Linked DNA regions of Arabidopsis thaliana. The protein of the gene in region 4 purifies or fractionates together with the protein of the main gene of each other region. This does not show direct contact. Each region holds a gene or a part of one and is shown on either strand. Other genes may lie near its edges. The genes, in order: NRPB11, AT2G05830, ABCE2 and DPB.

Evidence for each region.
Region 1: the proteins of DPB (region 4) and NRPB11 purify together in Arabidopsis thaliana (affinity purification with mass spectrometry, with the first as the bait; one large-scale study listed by BioGRID). This does not show direct contact.
Region 2: the proteins of DPB (region 4) and AT2G05830 purify together in Arabidopsis thaliana (affinity purification with mass spectrometry, with the first as the bait; one large-scale study listed by BioGRID). This does not show direct contact.
Region 3: the proteins of DPB (region 4) and ABCE2 purify together in Arabidopsis thaliana (affinity purification with mass spectrometry, with the first as the bait; one large-scale study listed by BioGRID). This does not show direct contact.

What each region holds. Positions count from the first base shown.
Region 1 is NC_003074.8:19,317,308-19,320,772, reverse strand, and holds NRPB11 (DNA-directed RNA polymerase, RBP11-like protein), read left to right. Parts: upstream 1-1,649; 5' UTR 1,650-1,774; coding exon 1,775-1,827; intron 1,828-1,908; coding exon 1,909-1,998; intron 1,999-2,087; coding exon 2,088-2,166; intron 2,167-2,272; coding exon 2,273-2,362; intron 2,363-2,450; coding exon 2,451-2,546; intron 2,547-2,671; coding exon 2,672-2,704; 3' UTR 2,705-2,924; downstream 2,925-3,465. Other genes in the region: AT3G52100 (RING/FYVE/PHD-type zinc finger family protein), read right to left, coding at 1-84, 165-257, 368-417, 496-670, 812-865, 944-1,283, 1,399-1,430; chx28 (cation/hydrogen exchanger 28), read right to left, coding at 3,038-3,465.
Region 2 is NC_003071.7:2,227,497-2,232,651, forward strand, and holds AT2G05830 (NagB/RpiA/CoA transferase-like superfamily protein), read left to right. Parts: upstream 1-2,042; 5' UTR 2,043-2,262; coding exon 2,263-2,334; exon of another isoform or gene 2,335-2,414; coding exon 2,415-2,470; intron 2,471-2,544; coding exon 2,545-2,703; intron 2,704-2,786; coding exon 2,787-2,886; intron 2,887-2,971; coding exon 2,972-3,114; intron 3,115-3,304; coding exon 3,305-3,410; intron 3,411-3,679; coding exon 3,680-3,818; intron 3,819-3,913; coding exon 3,914-4,182; intron 4,183-4,262; coding exon 4,263-4,343; 3' UTR 4,344-4,653; downstream 4,654-5,155. UniProt on the Arabidopsis thaliana protein: Catalyzes the interconversion of methylthioribose-1-phosphate (MTR-1-P) into methylthioribulose-1-phosphate (MTRu-1-P).
Region 3 is NC_003075.7:10,499,233-10,505,758, forward strand, and holds ABCE2 (RNAse l inhibitor protein 2), read left to right. Parts: upstream 1-1,890; 5' UTR 1,891-2,082; intron 2,083-2,661; 5' UTR 2,662-2,673; coding exon 2,674-2,776; intron 2,777-2,996; coding exon 2,997-3,082; intron 3,083-3,177; coding exon 3,178-3,275; intron 3,276-3,358; coding exon 3,359-3,476; intron 3,477-3,565; coding exon 3,566-3,655; intron 3,656-3,760; coding exon 3,761-4,065; intron 4,066-4,160; coding exon 4,161-4,356; intron 4,357-4,441; coding exon 4,442-4,627; intron 4,628-4,716; coding exon 4,717-4,986; intron 4,987-5,073; coding exon 5,074-5,319; intron 5,320-5,424; coding exon 5,425-5,544; 3' UTR 5,545-5,559; intron 5,560-5,666; 3' UTR 5,667-5,985; downstream 5,986-6,526. Other genes in the region: AT4G19200 (proline-rich family protein), read left to right, coding at 45-303, 878-1,158; AT4G19220 (Tetratricopeptide repeat (TPR)-like superfamily protein), read right to left, coding at 6,034-6,526.
Region 4 is NC_003076.8:840,559-845,962, forward strand, and holds DPB (Transcription factor DP), read left to right. Parts: upstream 1-1,929; 5' UTR 1,930-2,157; intron 2,158-2,251; 5' UTR 2,252-2,283; coding exon 2,284-2,534; intron 2,535-2,909; coding exon 2,910-2,989; intron 2,990-3,127; coding exon 3,128-3,171; intron 3,172-3,392; coding exon 3,393-3,455; intron 3,456-3,548; coding exon 3,549-3,695; intron 3,696-3,777; coding exon 3,778-3,846; intron 3,847-3,945; coding exon 3,946-4,044; intron 4,045-4,144; coding exon 4,145-4,215; intron 4,216-4,308; coding exon 4,309-4,642; 3' UTR 4,643-4,896; downstream 4,897-5,404. Other genes in the region: AT5G03406 (Class II aaRS and biotin synthetases superfamily protein), read left to right, coding at 36-124, 264-393, 513-605, 788-886; AT5G03420 (5'-AMP-activated protein kinase-like protein), read left to right, coding at 5,083-5,243, 5,366-5,404. UniProt on the Arabidopsis thaliana protein: Involved in the regulation of the G1/S transition. Increases the DNA binding activity of E2F proteins after heterodimerization.

The DNA.
Region 1 (3,465 bases), on a different chromosome or scaffold from region 4:
GCTCTGGCCATTCCCAGGGACTGTAGACTCACAACTGTAACATTTGGTGTGCTTAGGACACAAATAGGGTCCAGAACTAACATTCTGTAATATTCAGAGATTAAAATAAACCAATTTGCAAAAGATAAGATAAGAACCTTATACAGACGCAATAAATACTATACCTTGTGCCGAGGATGTTGGCAATCACAATGATATGCATCATCACATCTTTTGCAGAACATAAACTTTTTTGGATCCCCTAAAGTCCCGCAGCCCTAAAGGAAAAATGATCAAAAGAATACAAATAATCAAGCAGCAGTCATACCTAGCCCAGCATGTAAAGAGCAAGAATAATCATTGAGCACAAAGTTGTGTCCGAACATACCTCACAGATTCGGCAAGATGGGCACGCCCAAGAGCTCCAATTAAAAAGATCTGCTAGCAAAAACCGGTATAAGAATCTAGGCAGAAAGACTCATAAGTCATAAACAATAGATTCCTATGAAACAATACCTCTATGTTGGGCCCAAGACTTCACGCAGTTTCTATGATACTTCTTCCCACAACATTTGCAAGAAAGCATCTTGGCTCTCTCACTCTTCCCAACTTCAACCAAATAGCACATGTGACATGTTATGCTTGCACTGTGATGATCATGATCTTCTTCATTGAGGTCTTTGACTGAAACCTACATAGAGAAAGACATAACATTGAATTAGTGTCTTGACGAGAATAGACTTCATAATCATCCAAAAAATCACAAGTAGTTTACATATAAATCATAGATTACAGAACCCGAAAAGACAGGACAACACCAAAACACATACACGAGATACAGATAATCAACATCACTGAAAACACGTTTTCTCACAAAGACAGATTCCTATAAACAAGTTCAATTCAATTGACATAGCAGTAACCCCTAACCACAAAAACAAGTTTCGCAAGTAAGAATTCGAACCTCTAAGTCGCCAGAACAATCATTCGCAGCATAAACTTCCACAGCCTTCTTCTGCAACACCAAGGTGCGTTTAGCTGGTACCAAATTCGATGATGCAGCAACAACCTCCATCGCCGAATCACTCCCAACACCAACATTTCTAGCCGCAATGCGAGGACCAGTATCGAAAACAGCAAGCTTAGGCACATGGATCTGAACGGTACCGTCCTTGGAAACCTCAGCATCCCAGGGGTTTCGCACGAACTCCTGAAGAGAATGGATCTCTTTGAGATACACATCCTTGACTTCATTACCATGAAGATTCCGAGAAAACCCCAAAACGCAGAAGCAAATTTTCCGGCTGCGGAGAAAGAACGAAAGAAAGAAGAAAACCCCCAAATTAGAACAATTCGATTAGTAAAAACAAACAAGCCAACGAGTAAAGGAGGCGCCAAAAGAAAGAAAAAAAAACATACCATGTAATTGGACAAGCTACGTGAAAGGCCATAGTCGGTTTTCAAGTTTTACGCTTTCGGGTTCGATTTTTAGGGATCTGACTTCTTTTCTTTTTTTCCTGAATTTTTTGTTAGGTTTCTGAATTAAATCACTCGTCCTTTATTGTGTAAATAATATAAACCTAGAGGTCCTTAAACGGAAATATTATGTTTTATCGGCCCGATCCGACCCAAACTGTATACACCAATAATAATATAACACGTGGAGATTCGATCTTTTTTCTTTTATGAAAAACGACGTCGTATTATATTTTGTTTGCCAGAAAGAAACTGAAGAACTCTTGACTGTCTCTCTGCGGCGAAAAAGAGAGCGAAGCTTGAAATCTCCGATTAAGCCATGAATGCTCCCGAACGATATGAGCGATTCGTCGTCCCTGAAGGCACCAAGAAGTAATTGAAGTTTCTATCACTCGAAATCATACTCGATAGTCCTCTTACATGTGCTAAACCCTCTCGATTTCTATGTTCTAGGGTTTCTTATGATAGGGATACGAAGATCATCAATGCTGCTTCCTTCACGGTTGAGAGAGAAGACCATACGATTGGAAACATTGTCCGCATGTACGTCTTTTTGTTGATTTTGCAACTCTTTTCTCAGAAAGAAGAAAGCCCTAATTTTTGTCAGCTCTGTTCTGAAATTTTTGTTTTAGGCAACTTCATCGCGACGAGAATGTCTTGTTTGCTGGATACCAACTTCCTCATCCTCTTAAGTACAAAATCATAGTGAGGGTAAGTTCCAAGTTTTTCAGTTGCTTCTACTGTAGAGCCTGTTGCTTTGAATTGGAAAGAACAATGCTATCCTCTGCGTTTTTTTCAGTTCATTGATTGACCTTAGGATCCAAAAGATTGGTTTAGGAACTTAAAAGTAGTGTATGGTTGTTTGGAAACCGTGAATATTTCTTGGTTTAAGCTTCTAGTGTTAACAGTTTCCTCTGGGATTACTGGTTGCTTAAGGACTTATAGAAAGATCTTGTATGTTGTTGTTTAATTGTGAAAGTGGTTTCTGTATGTAGATTCACACAACAAGCCAGTCTTCCCCAATGCAAGCATACAACCAGGCCATCAATGACTTGGACAAGGAGCTCGACTACTTGAAGAACCAGTTTGAGGTACATAAGTTTCTCTCTTCGGATATACTTATCTGATTATGTGGTTAATAAGCTAGACGAATATCAAATGCTATTGATGTTGTTTGATGTACCTGGTCTTATGGTATACCCTTCTGTGTTTTCAGGCAGAGGTGGCCAAGTTTTCGAATCAGTTTTAAGGAACTTGGAGTTCTCCATCAGCACATCGGGGAAAACGTTTTACATTGTCTTTTGCTAAGCACCAATCAAGACTAATAATGAGCTTGGGAAATTTTCCCTAGTTATGCTTTGTATAAATCAAAAACAAATCGGCCTGTAACTTCTTTTAACTCTATGTTTCAACACCATTTCAGGATGCTATGAAGTAATGCTTAGATTACCTCTTCTTTTTACCATTCTATCTACATAAACCGCTTAATGTTTGAACTATTGTACAAAGTCTCTTTAAGAGTTGTGATGGTGAAGCTACTACTCTTCCCAAGCTACTAAGTAAAGTGCATTTGTACAGATATTCACAGTATAGTGAAGTCATCATGAAGCCCTTCTAGCTGACCCCGAGTACGCTGCTGCTGAATAATTAACATTGATGTGTTGTGTGAGAAATCTGATCCTGAAAGAACGTCACCTATGGGACCAAGCTCTGGACATTGCTGCCAGTCGTTGAGGCCGGTGGTTAACCCACTGCTCGCTCTTCCCCCTCCTCTTCCTACAATCACCAGCCCATACTCTCCATCTAGTGATTTAAGAGCTGTGAAAGTCTCAGAGGAGTTGGTGAGATGCTTCTCCATGTAAGACACTCTTCCACCTCCAGCTATGTATCTTTCGTAGAACTCAGCAAAACATTCATCATCAAGCTTCATTTCCTCCTCTTGATCTACCACACTCGCTCTGTTCAGGATGCTGCTTCGTTTTTGTGCGTTTTGAGAGCTCTTGTCTTCCA
Region 2 (5,155 bases), on a different chromosome or scaffold from region 4:
GAGACCAAAACATGATCAAAACACAAGCCCTTCTCGAAACTAACAGAAAATTAATTATAAGTTTGAATTAGAAAATCCGTTTTAAATACAATTGACTGCCATTTAAAATAAGATGGCATAGCAAAAAAAAATCTCCAACAATTTCGATAATTTTACCTTGTGTTCTGTTTTTTTTTACTTTTTGACAGAGGAGTTTCATCATACATTCTTCTTCATCTACAATAGAAAAAGAGATTATTGTTAATTAACTTGATTTGATGTTTGTTTTGTGTCTCGAGAAGAGTTAATGGAACAATGAGTCAAAAAAGGCAGAAGAGAGAGAGATGGCTATGCGAAATGAAAGAGGCCTAGCGAAGAAACAAAGCCCTAATAAAAGCAGAGAAATGAAGCGAAAATGCGATCACATCCATGATTCATTTATTTTTAAATTTATTTATGTTATTAAAAATAAATTATAATTAAAAACATATACAAAATATTTTTAGTTATTGTACCTAAACCCGCACCAGTCCCGCTTAAGTTTTTCAGGTAACAGAATAAATTTAGGTGTGTTTGGTTACTGGTTAAATAGAATAATGAATTTCTATTATGTTTGGCAATTGAAATAATGTAATTCAGAAGAAAAAAAGGAAAATTTGACAACATTGTGAGTTTGTTTGTTCAGAAAAAACCTTTTTCTACTATAGATGATTACTTTCTGAGCTAAAAGAAATGCTTATTTTTAGTTTGACATCTAACTTCTCACTTGTCAAATTACTCTTTTCATTACTCATAAAAATGCATTAAACTTTTTTTATTGGTTACCGTGAATTAAAAATATATAATCACAAGGATATGTAGTTGAAAAGACTTCGTTGGCCCTTTTCGAATGATTTTAAAACCATCTCATACGTGTGCTAAAAGTTTTGTCTACCAACTGTTTGTCGAAATGCTTCCGAAACGTTTTTTGTTTGTTGATAAACTAATAATAATTCTGATTTTCTGGTATTTTTTATTTGTTGTGCCGACTATTTTGCAGACACGAGAGATTAAAGGTATCCCAAAAATTTCTGGGAATATAGTTCTTATTCACCAATCATTTGTAGCAAACAAGATAGAAAAAACATGCCTAATTCTCCAAAGTTTGTTTTCATAAGTAATTTTGAATAATTTTCATTTCTCTTTATTTACTTCCATTATTTTGATATATAGTTCATATCCATATCTCTTATGATTAATTTTTTAATCATAACATGAGAAACGATAGGAATGAAACCTATTTGTAGGCGTTTACGATATTTCTTATGATACATTTTTTTTGTAAATTAGAATTTAGAAGTAGTCACTTTCGTTTTCATTACTGGTTCAATTAGAATGAGATATGATAAAACTAATAATTTTTTTCAATTGTCTGCTCTACAATCTACACAGGATTCCAAGGAAAAAAATACTTTAGGACTTCACATCACCACATCAGATATTGTCAAAGACAATTTTGTTTTGTGAAATCGAATACTCTGAATCCGGCTTTGATATCGAGGAAAAAACGCTTGACAAAGCATTGAAAGAAAAAAAAAATATTAGTTAAAGGAACCTTATACATTTTATGAAGTTTTTTTTTTTGTAAGCACCCGAAATAAAATTGATGAAGTTTGAGTATATCACTATGCCTTATGGTTTTTGCCGACCAAAATATGTCGAAATTATGAATACATATATTTTATTTATTTATTTATATTCTATTAAAATTATTTTGGGTGTAATAATAAAATTAAACTTCTATCAATTTTAAAGGGAGGATTATTAATTTAAATAACATTAAATCATATATGATATATAATCAAATAATATTTTAGTAATCTTAAAATTAAATTAAAATTTAAAAACTGATATTTAGATAATCATAAAGTATTAACCCACAACAATAAGTGATTACAATTTAAAGAACTACTATTAGTTTCTTAAAATATTTTAAAAGCACATGTGTTCTAAAAAGGTTACAGGTAGATAAGCAGTCTGCTCCTAAAGAACTATAAACAATAATCACTTTTAATTTGTTTAAAACCAGCTTGTTTCACGCCCTAAATTAACTAAAATATATCTACCATTATTCCAGACAAAACGACGTCGGTTGGTGTGTTTCACGCCGGCTTGGTGCTCTAGGCATCTATCTGATTCTCACTATCACTACTGACACAAATCCTTTTCCTTTTGTTCCTCTTTCTCTAAACCAATCTTTAAAACAACTTATTCGTCTTCAAGATTTCTCCAACAAGTCCTACCATGTCCGGCGAAGGAGACACGACCCTCAAAGCTATCTGTTACAAGCCTGGCTCTCTCCAGTTACTCGATCAGGTTCTCTCTTTCACTTCTATAAAGTTTTCAAATTTATACTTTTTTTCCTCAAATCTGTTTACTCGTCTGAATTGGAACAGAGGAAGCTTCCTTTAGAGACTATTTACTTAGAGATTCGTGATGCTTCAGATGGATGGTAAAGTCTTTACCTTTATGATTAGAGATTGTTTTGGGAAAATTGTGGTTTAAAAAGTTTGATACTTTTGGTAGGAGTGCTATTCAGGAAATGGTTGTACGTGGTGCTCCTGCTATAGCTATTGCTGCTGCTCTTTCTTTGGCTGTTGAAGTTTTCAACTTTCATGGTTTTGATGGATCAGCTTCAGATGCTGTTGCTTTTCTTGAGAACAAGTTGGATTATTTAGTGTCAAGGTTAGATTTTGGATTTGTTAGTTAAGTTTTGCATCTTTGGTGCTTACTCTAATGTCTTTTGCTTTTTATGTTTGTTTCTTCAGCCGTCCAACAGCAGTTAATCTTGCAGATGCTGCTTTGAAACTTAAACATGTTATAGCAAAGGCCTTGGCTACTGCCACCGAAGCCAAATCCATTTTCAAGGTATCAAGAAGTTTCGTAATTCATCTGTGTGTGTGCCTTTTGCTTTTGTAAGTTTAGCTCATTCTCTGTGCTTGTTGTTCTTCAGGCATATATTGAAGCTAGTGAGGATATGCTTGAAGATGATGTTGTTTCAAACAAAGCTATAGGAAACTTTGGTTTAAGCTTGTTGAGGCAACAAGCCAAGAATCCTGATAAGCTTTCTGTTTTGACCCATTGCAACACTGGCAGGTATTGATTTAGCTAGATTTTCTGAATTGCATAGATACCGTCTGCATAAGTTACTCAAGTTGAGTAATAGCATGTTACCACATATGTGTATGCAGCTTCAACCAATAGAGTTGTGTAATGGTTTTTGGTGTTATGTTTATGTGGTAGATTCCTAGTAAGGCATTAACTACGAGTTCTATTGACTTTGTAGCCTTGCTACCGCCGGATATGGTACTGCCCTCGGTGTCATCCGTGCACTCCATACTCAAGGAATCTTAGAAAGAGCATACTGCACAGAAACTCGTCCATTTAATCAAGTAAAACTCCTAAATTAATACTTTTTCTTTCTCAATATCGTAAGAAGAAGAATCCGTAGAATACCTTAAGTTGTTAGGGACGATAATTACCTCTATATTGACATATGTGTTCTTATCAAAACGGTGGTAAAAGCTTCAAAACCATGAAGGAACGTAGGACAGATACTTCTTGTGGCAGCTCCCTGAATCCATTGCTTTATAGAGTTTTCATATCTTGTTGAACTGTTGTTGAAAGTCTTTTGAATTTATGACTAAATGGCAATTGACAGGGATCGAGGCTTACAGCGTTTGAGTTGGTGCATGAGAAAATCCCTGCAACTCTCATTGCAGACTCAGCTGCAGCTGCACTGATGAAAGATGGTCGTGTTGATGGTGTCATCGTTGGAGCTGATCGTGTGGCTTCAAATGGTACACTCAAACACCTTAGATAAATCCGTTTTCTCTCACAAATCTGATTCCTTATGACTGAATCACTTCTTAACCAATTCATTGATATACTCCAGGCGATACTGCTAACAAGATTGGGACTTACAGTCTCGCCTTGTGCGCAAAACATCACGGGATCCCATTTTATGTTGCTGCACCTCTTACCTCAGTTGATCTGTCACTTTCATCCGGGAAAGAAATCGTGATAGAGGAAAGATCTCCAAAGGAGTTGATGCACACACACGGAGGACTTGGTGAACGCATTGCAGCACCAGGGATCTCAGTTTGGAACCCAGCTTTTGATATGACTCCAGCAGAGCTGATTGCAGGAATCATAACCGAGAAAGTTCGTTTTTCCAGCCTTGCTTGTTCTGGAAGATATTTATGCTCATTTATTTGAATCTCTCAACGTGTTTGTATATGCAGGGGGTCATAACAAAGAATGGCAATGATACATTTGACATAAGCAGCTTTGCCAAGAAGATAACAGGAAACTCATCTCGTTGAAGTTAGAGTCAGCATTGCGACTTGCGGATGTTCCCCTCTCTCTATATACTTGCAACAAAGCAAATTACTTTGTAATGTTTGAGCTACTAAGTACACTGTGGTAAAAATTGTCAAAAATAAGAAATAATCGATACGTTTTAGCCAATTGTAGGTAGCCAAAATGCTGGTCTTGGGTTTAATGCTAATGAAGATTGGGAAACAACTTGTTTTAGTGTAAAACAACTTGTCCATGGGCTTGCCCGGTCCATCTTGACTTGGTTCTTATTTCTCTATTTTTTTAAGTTTAAGAAAAGAATACCGTTTCTCCTACCCGTCAATATTGAAATAATTTCAGAGGTTTTCCTTGTTCTGTGTCAACAAACAATTCGAAATGCCTCGACTTTATCAATTTTTTGATAATTCTGAACTTTAGACCAAATGCATATGGACGAGCTATATTCTGGACCAAAAAACAAATGGTCTAATTGGGCATATGACCAGTTTTGTCCACGGATAATATGGGCTTGACCATATGGACAACGGGCTGCCCATGGGCATGAATTGAGTCAATAGACATGTCTTCATTTAATTGTATTTTTATAATTTTAATTACAATTACAACTAAATAATTTTTAAATAATATATTTTACATTTATAAGTTTTTACTTTTCTGAAAATTTTAAATTTTAATGAATTATTTCTTATTAAATTATTTACGATTTTAAAGGAAAGATAGTATTCCACAATTTTCTGGAATACGCAATTTTTAAATTTTACGGTTTTGACGGGAAAAATACAATTCTCCGATTTTACGATTTTGACGGAAAAACGTA
Region 3 (6,526 bases), on a different chromosome or scaffold from region 4:
GTTTGATCTTTGACAAAATATTGTAGGTTTAAAGTAAAAAAGCAATGGGAGGTGGTAAAGACAAGCATCATGATGAGCAAGAGAAAGGATTTCATGGTTTTCCAGGAGGTGGACATTACCCACCTGCTCAAGGAGGTTACCCTCCTCAAGGTTACCCACCACAACAAGGGTATCCTCCAGCTGGAGGCTACCCACCTGCCGGATATCCTCCTGGTGCTTACCCTGCTGCGCCCGGTGGTTATCCTCCTGCACCTGGAGGTTACCCTCCTGCTGGCTATCCTGCACCTGGAGCTCACCATTCAGGTATGCATTGTCTCGTTAAAGAGCTCTTCTTTGTAGTTTTGGTAAATGTTGATGTTTTCTATGCAAAAGCTATGGAGTGTCCTTGTAGCTTGCTTGGATTATCAACCTGCTAAATATTGTTAATCATTGAATGTTAATAGGAAAAGACTTTATAAATGTTTCGGTTTTCTATGAAAAAAGCTAAAGATTGTGCGTGAAGTTTGCTGGATCATTAACCTTCGAACTTTGAATGATAATAGAACAATAGTTTGTAAATCTTACTGTTTTCTTTGTAAATAAAGCTTAGAACTGGCCTTGTTGTTTGCTGGATTATCAGCCTGCTAAGTATTGTCAAGTTTGAATGATAGTATGACAATTGTTTCTGAAATGTTGTTTTTTTTTCTGTGATAAAAAGATGAGGACATATAAACTTACTGTCTTCTGTTTTGGTGTATACATTGATGTTTTAATTTTAAATCTACTAGGAGTACATGTTTAATCGTGTGTGCTTATCAATATGCAACTTTGTGGTCTCTTATATGCATTCTGCTACTTTGTGGTTCTCCATGTAATACTATTTTCTTTTTTCCATCAGGACATTCTGGTGGTGGACTCGGAGGCATGATAGCAGGTGCAGCTGGTGCAGCCGCAGCAGCTTATGGAGCTCACCATGTTGGTCACGCCTCTCACAACCCTTACGGGCATGCTGTAGGACATGGAGGGTATGGCCATGCCCCTGCTCATGGCTTTGGCCATGGTGGTCATGGTAAATTCAAGCACGGAAAGCATGGAGGCAAATTCAAGCACGGAAAGCATGGAAAGCACGGGAAACATGGCATGTTTGGAGGAGGAGGCAAATTCAAGAAGTGGAAGTAATCTCAAAAACCCCACCTTTGATCCTCTCCTCCAGTATAGTCTCATTACCTGACCGATGTTTCTAATAATCCCCCTTCAAACATATTTCATTTTAACTATGTCGGTTTAGAGATTACTGGTTGAGGAAATAATTGGAGAGTGCTAGTATAAACCTTATGGTATCTGCAGCAGAGGTTTCTTTAATCTCTCAATAGTAGATGCTTTGAAACTTATCTATAATTTGGTATTGTAATGACAGTTTGTGTTTGGTTTTTTCTTCAGTATCTTCTTTGTTTGATCATTTGATGTTGGTGGAGTTCTCCAAAATATTTATGCTATTGTAGATCCTAACCTTTCTATCTTGTTATTCTTCGTTTTTTGGCCATTATTTTCGTTTCGCTCCCGATCCAAATTCCAAAGTACTTCAACAATATCTTATGCAATAACGAGACAAACACTTAAGGTCGTGCAAGAATAGTGTCTGTTTTTCACTGATTCACTTTTACAGAGAACAAACTGAATTAATTTTGATTATTGAATAGTTGACATGCAATAATATTTGTTAATCCAAATGAATAGATAAAAAAAAAAATTCCTTGAGAGTAAAGAAACTAAATTTTGGAAGACAATTTTTAACTAGTTTTCTCTAAAACTAGGAAAGTCAGAAAATGAGAAAACAAATTTGATTTTATTACGGAAGTGAAGGGCTTTCCGACAAATTGCTTTGCTCAGACCAAACTGTAACCGACCCAAGCCCAATAAAAAAGCGAATCGGGTCAAACGAAAACAGATAATTCAGAAAACCCTAAATTCGTTTCTCTTTTTTTTTCTTCATTCTGAGCAAAGCAGTAACTCTCAGGTGCGTGTGCTCTCCGCTGGTTCCTTAGAACAATCGGCACACGCTTTTTCATTTCAATCTTCTTCTTCTACTCTTAAGTATCTCAGGTACTAATCTCGATTTCTCTATTTCTCGTCCATGGAGATTTAGATTTCAAGTCAGATGCTTTTCGATTTGTTACAGATGTATAATTTTTGTAATCGATTGATTCGCAGCTTGGATTGTATTGAGCCATCGACATACCTTCAAAATTCTTATAATTGTATTGAAAGTGTTTGAATTTAATGTTTTTTTTTTTCTTTCTCTCGATTGTTTTGATTTCTGGGCAAGTGTCAACTTTTGTAACAGATTAGTGACCTTTCTCTTTATAGATATGTGGAAGAATTTGGAATTTACAAATTCGGTTCACCATTTTTATCTGAAGCACTGAATTTGCGTTTTTCAAGCTTGAGTGAATATTATTTCTTGGCTCTTAAGATTTTGCATGTCAACTATTATTTCATCATTGTTAGCATCTTGTGGTGTTCAAGTTATTATTTTAAATATTGTTTGTGCTACTCTATAGTTATTCCCTATGTTGTTATTTCGTTCCTTTGCCTTAGCGTGACATCTTTATTTGGTATATTTGTATCTGTGTGATTTAGTTTCTTCAGGCTGTTAAACTATAGATTTCATGTATTTTGTAGGTCTGTTGAGAGATGGCAGATCGATTGACACGTATTGCTATTGTGAGTTCAGACCGTTGCAAGCCAAAGAAATGTCGCCAAGAGTGCAAGAAGAGTTGTCCTGTGGTCAAGACAGGTGTATATTTTTATTCCAAATTTGGATCTGTGGTCTTTCATGTGGATTTATTATTATTGTACTGTAATTGATTAGCTTTGTTATGTGCGTCATGCCAATTAGTAGACAGAGAATGGTTAGGTGTTTATGTGAAGCCATTAGCTTATAGTTCCTACTTGAAGTTGTTGTAACTCTACAAATTTTTAGTGCCACTTGTTCATTAACTTGCCTTTTATCTTAGGAAAACTTTGTATTGAGGTGACTGTTGGTTCCAAGCTTGCTTTTATCTCAGAGGAGTTGTGTATCGGTTGCGGTATTTGTGTGAAGGTATGTATGCATAGGCTCTTTCCGATATCCAAGATGCCTCTAGAAATGGCACCTAAACTGGGATGCTAAATGACTCTGTTGTTACACAATTGCAGAAATGCCCGTTTGAAGCTATTCAGATTATCAATCTTCCAAGAGACTTGGAGAAAGATACGACCCATCGTTATGGGGCAAACACTTTTAAGTTACACAGGTTCGTTTATCTACTATTTTTCCTGAAACAAATTGACCGCTCTTGTAGTTTTCAGACAATGAAATCTTTGTCTTTACTTCCAGGCTCCCAGTTCCAAGACCAGGGCAGGTGCTAGGGTTGGTTGGAACCAATGGTATTGGAAAATCAACTGCTCTGAAAATTTTGGCTGGAAAGCTCAAACCAAATTTGGGCCGTTTCACTGTAATAGCCTCTCTTGAGTTTCTAAACTTTTATCTTCGAAATTTGGTCTCTTTCATAGTTGATGTGTTCATATATTCCTTGTTGAACAGAGTCCTCCAGACTGGCAAGAAATCTTGACTCACTTCCGTGGTTCAGAACTTCAAAACTACTTCACACGTATTCTAGAAGATAATCTTAAGGTACAGTTGAAACTGATATTAATATTTTTCTCCATGAGGTAGCTAGGTATTATTTGATGTTTAAGCAGCTCAATTGAGCAAGTTCTGATACCCTGTGCATGGCAGGCCATTATAAAGCCTCAATATGTCGACCACATCCCAAGAGCAGTTAAAGGCAATGTTGGAGAGGTCCTTGACCAGAAGGATGAGAGAGATAAGAAGGCAGAGCTCTGTGCTGATCTGGAGCTGAACCAGGTCATTGACCGTGATGTTGAGAATTTATCTGGTGGTGAGCTGCAGAGGTTTGCAATCGCTGTTGTTGCCATACAAAATGCAGAGATTTACATGTTTGATGAACCATCTAGTTACCTCGATGTTAAGCAAAGACTCAAAGCTGCTCAAGTTGTTCGTTCTCTCCTGAGGCCTAATAGGTTTGAATTTCCCAGCTTCTGAAGTTTTTTTTTCAAAAGGGATAAAAAATAAGGTACTTACATTGTTTTTTTTTTGTTTTTTTTTTGTTTCCCAGCTACGTCATTGTTGTGGAGCATGATCTCAGTGTTCTTGATTACTTGTCGGATTTCATTTGCTGTCTGTATGGGAAACCAGGAGCCTATGGTGTGGTGACTCTCCCCTTCTCTGTCAGAGAAGGAATCAACATTTTCTTGGCTGGATTTGTTCCTACAGAAAATTTACGTTTTAGAGATGAATCTTTGACCTTCAAGGTATAGATATTTTGTATGATGAAAGGCAAAGTTTTGTCGCCAAGGCAATAAATTGTTTTCCTCAATGTTTTTCTTTTGTTTGAAGGTTGCTGAGACTCCACAAGAAAGTGCTGAAGAGATACAGTCGTACGCTAGGTACAAATACCCCACGATGACCAAAACTCAAGGAAACTTCAGGTTGAGAGTGTCGGAAGGTGAATTCACTGACTCTCAGATTATTGTAATGCTTGGGGAGAATGGTACAGGGAAGACAACATTTATTCGGATGCTGGTATTCTCTTCTTCCATGATATGTTCTCTTGTGGTTAGAGTTTTAGAAAGTACTGTACTGTAAAGTTGTAATATTGGTAATATTTGCAGGCCGGGTTGTTGAAACCAGACGACACAGAAGGACCAGACAGAGAGATACCAGAATTCAATGTTTCGTATAAGCCACAAAAGATCAGCCCAAAGTTTCAGAATTCAGTTAGGCACCTGCTACATCAAAAGATTCGAGATTCTTACATGCATCCACAATTTATGTCGGATGTGATGAAACCACTTCAGATTGAGCAGTTGATGGATCAAGAAGTTGTCAATCTCTCAGGAGGAGAATTGCAAAGGGTTGCATTAACTCTGTGCCTCGGAAAGGTAATTATTTTGTTTCAGACGTCTATATGACGTAGTTGCTTTCTTTCTCTCAGTGATCTCATGCATCCACAATGTGAATTCTTACAGCCTGCGGATATATACCTGATCGATGAGCCAAGTGCATATCTCGATTCTGAGCAACGTATTGTTGCTTCTAAAGTCATAAAGCGATTTATTCTCCACGCAAAGAAAACTGCATTTGTAGTCGAGCATGACTTTATAATGGCGACCTATTTGGCAGACCGGGTCATTGTGTATGAAGGACAACCATCCATTGATTGTACTGCAAATTGTCCTCAATCACTGCTCAGTGGAATGAATCTCTTCTTATCTGTAAGTCTCCTATTATATCTCTTAGTTACACCGTATGGGCAAGAGAAGAGGGCATAAAGGTTTGGTGCTAATGATTCCTATTTTATGTTTTTCGTTACCATGCAGCATCTGAACATCACATTCAGACGGGATCCCACCAATTTCAGACCAAGAATCAACAAATTGGAGTCGACCAAAGACAGGGAACAGAAGTCTGCAGGCTCATACTACTACTTGGATGATTAGGACAACTACCAAGAGGTTCTTGATCACTAAAATCCAATCATGTTTTCTCAATCATACAACGTTTTATGGAATCAACATCTAAAATGTTTGTTTTCTCTTAATGTCCTTCAATGGATTCACAGAATATAGGGCATTGTTCGAATTCCAGAAGGGTCTTTTGCTCAGAGGAAGTTGATCTATGAGCTCGGAATATTTTACGCAGCCATCTGTTTTCCGAGTGCATAAGCACAGATGTTTCTTTCTGGTCAAGCTTTTAATTGTTGTTTCATCAGTTTTACTTCTACATTTTCTCTCTCACAGCTTTTATTAACTGAGCAATAAAAGTTTAAGAATCTGTAACCTTTTTTTCTTTTTGGCTTTGTACTTCCTGAGTTGATGATTTCAACATTTACTGTGATGTTACTACTTTGGATTTTACAATCTATTGCCTATTTTTACATTATTTTCTTTCTTCTTACACAGCGTCTAACTCACTGATATAGGAAAACTTCAAGAAACAGTATCTAAACACCTAACGTCAATAACACTGTAACCAGGAAGCTTTTTCAAGGCATTATCCTCCACCATCTTCCGTAGTCTTACAGCTTCTTCCCAACCTCCCAATCCAACATAAGTATTTGCCAACGAGATGTAATAAGATGCATTGTCTGGTTCCATTTCAAACAAAACTTCTGCAACTTCTTTTCCCAACTTTGTATCCCCATGATAGTTGCAAGCGCTCAACAACGCTCCCCATACACCTGCTTTTTGTGGCTCACCAATCCCTGTGATGAACTCATAAGCTTCTCTCAGTTTCCCTGCCCGGCCAAGCATGTCAACAATCCAAACCCGATGCTCAGTAACTGGTTTAACCCCAAATTTTTCCTCCATTTGCTTGTAATAACTTAGACCTTCATCAATAAACCCAGAGTGGCTGCAAGCTGACAACAGGCTTATGAAACTGCTCTTGTTTGGTTCCATCTCTGAGTTACTACTCAGTTCC
Region 4 (5,404 bases):
TCCTTAGCTTAAACTCTTGCAACCTTGTTGTGTAGCTTTACTGCTTTGAAGATAGGGGTAATCGCCGTGTAGCATTGAGGCCTGAGCTTACACCTTCTTTAGCGAGGCTTGTCATACAGAAAGGGTAACTAATGCAGAATTTTCTCTCAAGCCTTGAGAATTGTCCTTATTCTTCAATGAGCGGTTTATTTATTTTTGTTTGTAAAAATTCTGTATCAGGTAAGGATGTGAGAATGTTGATTCCCATATTCTTTTTGGTCCAGAAAATCTGTTTCCCTTCCATTGAAGTGGTTTGCTGTTGGGCAGTGTTGGAGATATGAGAGAATGACACGAGGAAGGCGACGTGAGCATTACCAGTGGAATATGGATATTATTGGTGTGCCTGAAGTTACAGTATGTATCTCTCATACCTTTAATCACTTTAGGCCTTCTAGTTTTTTGTTATATGAACCTGATCTGTGTTTAAAGTCTCTATAAGCCGGCTAATTTGGTTCACAAACCTTTTCTTTTAGGCTGAAGCAGAACTAATTTCATCTATAATGACATTCTTCAAGCGAATTGGAATCACTGCATCAGATGTGGGTTTTAAGGTTTCAAGCCGCAAGGTATTTTTGCTTACGTTCTCTTTTGATGTGATATGATCATTTTGTTTCTTGGTTTACACTCTAGATACAGAACCAAGTAACTCACTTGCAATGCTAAACATGAGTTGAGATTATTTTGCACGATCTGCAGCATCTGAATATCCACTGTAGCTAACATCTCCCATAACTTCTTCCTTGTACAGGTTTTACAAGAATTTTTAAAAAAGTATGGTGTACCCGAAGACCTGTTTGGAAGAGTTTGCTTCATTATAGACAAGGTTAGCAATCTAAACATCAATTAACAGCTGCTTTGTTGCCAGAATTGGGACAAGAAGTAGAGAACATCGTGTGTGCTTTGGACAAAGATCTCCAAGGAGCTGCAACCACCATTGCAACCGCTCTTAAAGACAAAGGGCAAACCGTTGATTTAGTATTGGAGAGTAAACCGCTGAAATGGGTGTTCAAGAGAGCGGCTCGGGTAAACGCAAGAAGGCCGGTTCTGGTTGGGAAGTTGGTTCGGTCAGTGTCAAGGTTTTGTCTTCAGGTGAGCAATTTCAAGTCAAACTTGATGACTTGGAGTAGTAGTATCTAAGGCTTGAACAAATTGTTCAATTGTCCTTTTTTTCAAAAGCAATTGAGTTGAGATTGGATTTTTATTTTGTCCTCAAAGGTTTCATTAAGAATTTTATTGATGGATCTTCAATACTCGTTTATTCGTCTAATAGTGATTTACAAAATATACTTTTTGACTTCGAATCAGCCACATGTGGCATGTGATTTTTATTTCAAACCGAGAAATGCTAAAAAGAAAAGAAAATGTGCCTTTCGTGAACCTTAAGCTACATTATCACATAATCTTCGGAACTAGAAAAACTCTTTTGCTCCAGTTTTAGTAATGAAAGAGGATGAACATGATATGTTTATATTTCCTAAAAGCTCAAATCTTATCAACACTAGAATGAGTAAATTTCATATAATGAAAATTCATATCGAATGTGATTGACTAGTGGTATCAACCACACATGTTTTTAACTTTTTGACTTGATCATCCATCTACATTATGATGTATCAATGTATGTTTTTTATATTTGTTTTCATGCTTATTAAAGCCATATAAACATATTTTGGTAGATAATTCCAGTATTTAGCCAACAAAAGAAGAAGACGAAGATAATTTTAGTGTTTAGCCAAAATAAAAATAAAAAGATAATTCCAGTATTATATTCTGATTAACAAAAGACCTAAATTTCACTAAAGAGAATTAATCTTTTGGTAAAATAAAAAAAAAGTAAAGAAAATTATCTTCTTTAACTTTTTGTTTTTTTTTCACCTATGAGTCAGTTTGGTCCCTCTCTCTCTCTCTCATTGTGGACATCTTTTCACCATCGCACAAATAACAAGCCTCCCAACCCCGATCGACTTATCCTCCTCCTTCTCCGGCGAAATCCATTAACTCTCCGCCGCGAAAACCACCTTTCCAGAGTAGTATCACACTAAGAATTCTAATGTTGATCCGCCATTATTGAAGCTTCTAATTCTCGTTAATAACCAAAAACCCAAGTCGATTTTCAAGGTCAGTACTCAAAATCTGGGTTTTCGTCAAAATCAGAAACTTTCCTTGACAAATTTTAACAAATCTCTTTCTCGTTTTCTATTGAATTCTCCAGTAGCGCGGTAGTTAGTTTTAGGTGGAAGAAGAATGACAACTACTGGGTCTAATTCTAATCACAACCACCATGAAAGCAATAATAACAACAATAACCCTAGTACTAGGTCTTGGGGCACGGCGGTTTCAGGTCAATCTGTGTCTACTAGCGGCAGTATGGGCTCTCCGTCGAGCCGGAGTGAGCAAACCATCACCGTTGTTACATCTACTAGCGACACTACTTTTCAACGCCTGAATAATTTGGACATTCAAGGTGATGATGCTGGTTCTCAAGGAGCTTCTGGGTATGTAAACCACCTCAATTCTGTGATTTTTATATTAAAAGGCTTTGATGTGTTTATTGTGATGTTTGGTTTAGCGATTTTTAGGGTTTTCATTCTATTGCAATGGCTGCTTTTATGAGCTTAATGAATATATGAAACTGAACCAGTAGATGTAAGTATGATGTGTGGATCATACTTTTACAAGCTTGAATTTGGCTCTCCTGATATGTATTAGTCTAAAATCTACTAATAATCTGCATATTTGAATACTCATCTTTCCTATCCTTATTGGGACAAAAGATACTGTTTAGGCCATTGTCTTTGTGCGTTAATTTTTGTGTGGAAGTTGTTACATGTGTTCTGTGTAGTTTAGTTGATCATATAATCTATTTACAGTGTTAAGAAGAAGAAGAGGGGACAGCGTGCGGCTGGTCCAGATAAGACTGGAAGAGGACTACGTCAATTTAGTATGAAAGGTCTTATCTCTTTCTCTGCCCCTATTATGCTTTCATCTAAATGCCTTTCAAGTTTCTAGCTATGAATTGTGTGGATAATGCCTCTTAAGATTGGTTATACATTTAACTGATATTATGTTCGTCTGGCCTTCCTTTCAGTTTGTGAAAAGGTGGAAAGCAAAGGAAGGACAACTTACAATGAGGTACGGTAGTTTCCTTTTTAAACAAAAAGCTTCACAGTATTTATGCTTTGCAAGATCCATTCACTTCTGTTTATGTTATATGATGATACTGATTTATTGTGCTTACCAGTGTGATTAAACACTTGTCAAGATCACATATGGGAATATCAATTTGTCTCATGATTAGTACTGCAAACGTGTAGCTCTGTAATACGGTATCTAACAGGTGATAGTACTTTCAGGTTGCAGACGAGCTTGTTGCTGAATTTGCACTTCCAAATAACGATGGAACATCCCCTGATCAGGTATGCGTTTCTTCGATAGTTTCTACCCTGGAACGTGTGCAATACTCGTTGTGAACTCTGATGAAATTATATCATGTGAAAACGTTTTACCAGCAACAGTATGATGAGAAAAACATAAGACGAAGAGTATATGATGCTTTAAACGTCCTCATGGCTATGGATATAATATCCAAGGATAAAAAAGAAATTCAATGGAGAGGTCTTCCTCGGACAAGCTTAAGCGACATTGAAGAATTAAAGGTTTCAACCACATATTCTATGTGCAGATGTTCCATAGCTTGTTTAGAGAATTTTCCTGAATTTGAATTATTTTGTTTTGCAGAACGAACGACTCTCACTTAGGAACAGAATTGAGAAGAAAACTGCATATTCCCAAGAACTGGAAGAACAAGTAATGAACATCATCGATACTCTCGGCTTATCTGCTTCCTGTTACTTTTATCATAGATTCTTACATGGTCCTTCTATCATCTCTGTGTATGTCTGAAAGTATGTAGGCCTTCAGAATCTGATACAGAGAAATGAGCACTTATATAGCTCAGGAAATGCTCCCAGTGGCGGTGTTGCTCTTCCTTTTATCCTTGTCCAGGTAAACTTCACCAACAGCTTCGTATGATCTTAGATTGATCCACAAGGAAACCTCAGAAAAATGAAAAAATCACCTGATTGTTGTTGTTTCTCTGCACCAGACTCGTCCTCACGCAACAGTAGAAGTGGAGATATCAGAAGATATGCAGCTCGTGCATTTTGATTTCAACAGGTAAAATCCAAACACCAGATTTGATCTCTTTTCAGCTAATATATCTATGGAACCGATTACTGACACTGTGACAACTGTTTTCACTATTTGCAGCACTCCATTTGAGCTCCACGACGACAATTTTGTCCTCAAGACTATGAAGTTTTGTGATCAACCGCCGCAACAACCAAACGGTCGGAACAACAGCCAGCTGGTTTGTCACAATTTCACGCCAGAAAACCCTAACAAAGGCCCCAGCACAGGTCCAACACCGCAGCTGGATATGTACGAGACTCATCTTCAATCGCAACAACATCAGCAGCATTCTCAGCTACAAATCATTCCTATGCCTGAGACTAACAACGTTACTTCCAGCGCTGATACTGCTCCAGTGAAATCCCCGTCTCTTCCAGGGATAATGAACTCCAGCATGAAGCCGGAGAATTGAAACACGTATGAAGGCCCCTTGTACAATTTCTGTAAAACTGTAAAGTAGCTCTTGAAAAACTTTACCTGGTTTTTTGACGAATAGTCTGTTTAGCGGTAAATGTACCGGTGGTTTATCGAATCTAGGATCCTTGTCGGGTTTAGCGATTTTAAGAATCTTTGCCATAGGAAAAAAAAAACACTTTGCTCTGTGGTGTAGAAATGAATTTTATTAACCATTTGGATTAGTCCATGTTCGGTTCTGTTATTCGGAAACCCGGTTATGGACTTCAATTTTGGAAATTACGAAACTGAACTAATCGATTTCCGGTTTTGTTGAACCGAAATCCGGTTAAAATATTACCATATCAATCATATCATTAGAAATGTAGTTCTGTTTCATGTAATTCGGTCTGAATGTTAATAAATGCTGGGAACATCGGAGCTTGAGAAAGTCCGGCCATGGCGACGATTTCTCAGATACCTTTCTCTATCTCCTTCCCTTGTTTCGAATTTCGGAAACCATCGTTCTACTATCATCAGCCTCAACTTTTTGTTTCGTACTTGAATTCCACGAAGAAGCATAGTTTTATCTGTTTCGCATGTTCCACCAAACAAACCAGGTTCGAAATTTCTCGTCGTTTTTTTTTTTGGTTTTTGCTTCGATCTGTGGAAAATTGGAGACAGCAGACGTACTTCAATTATTGTTTTGGTTAATTGGTCTGCTTGAATTGAATTTGAACAGAGTTCGTAAGAGAGTGAAGAGCAATGAGGAGCTTCGGAG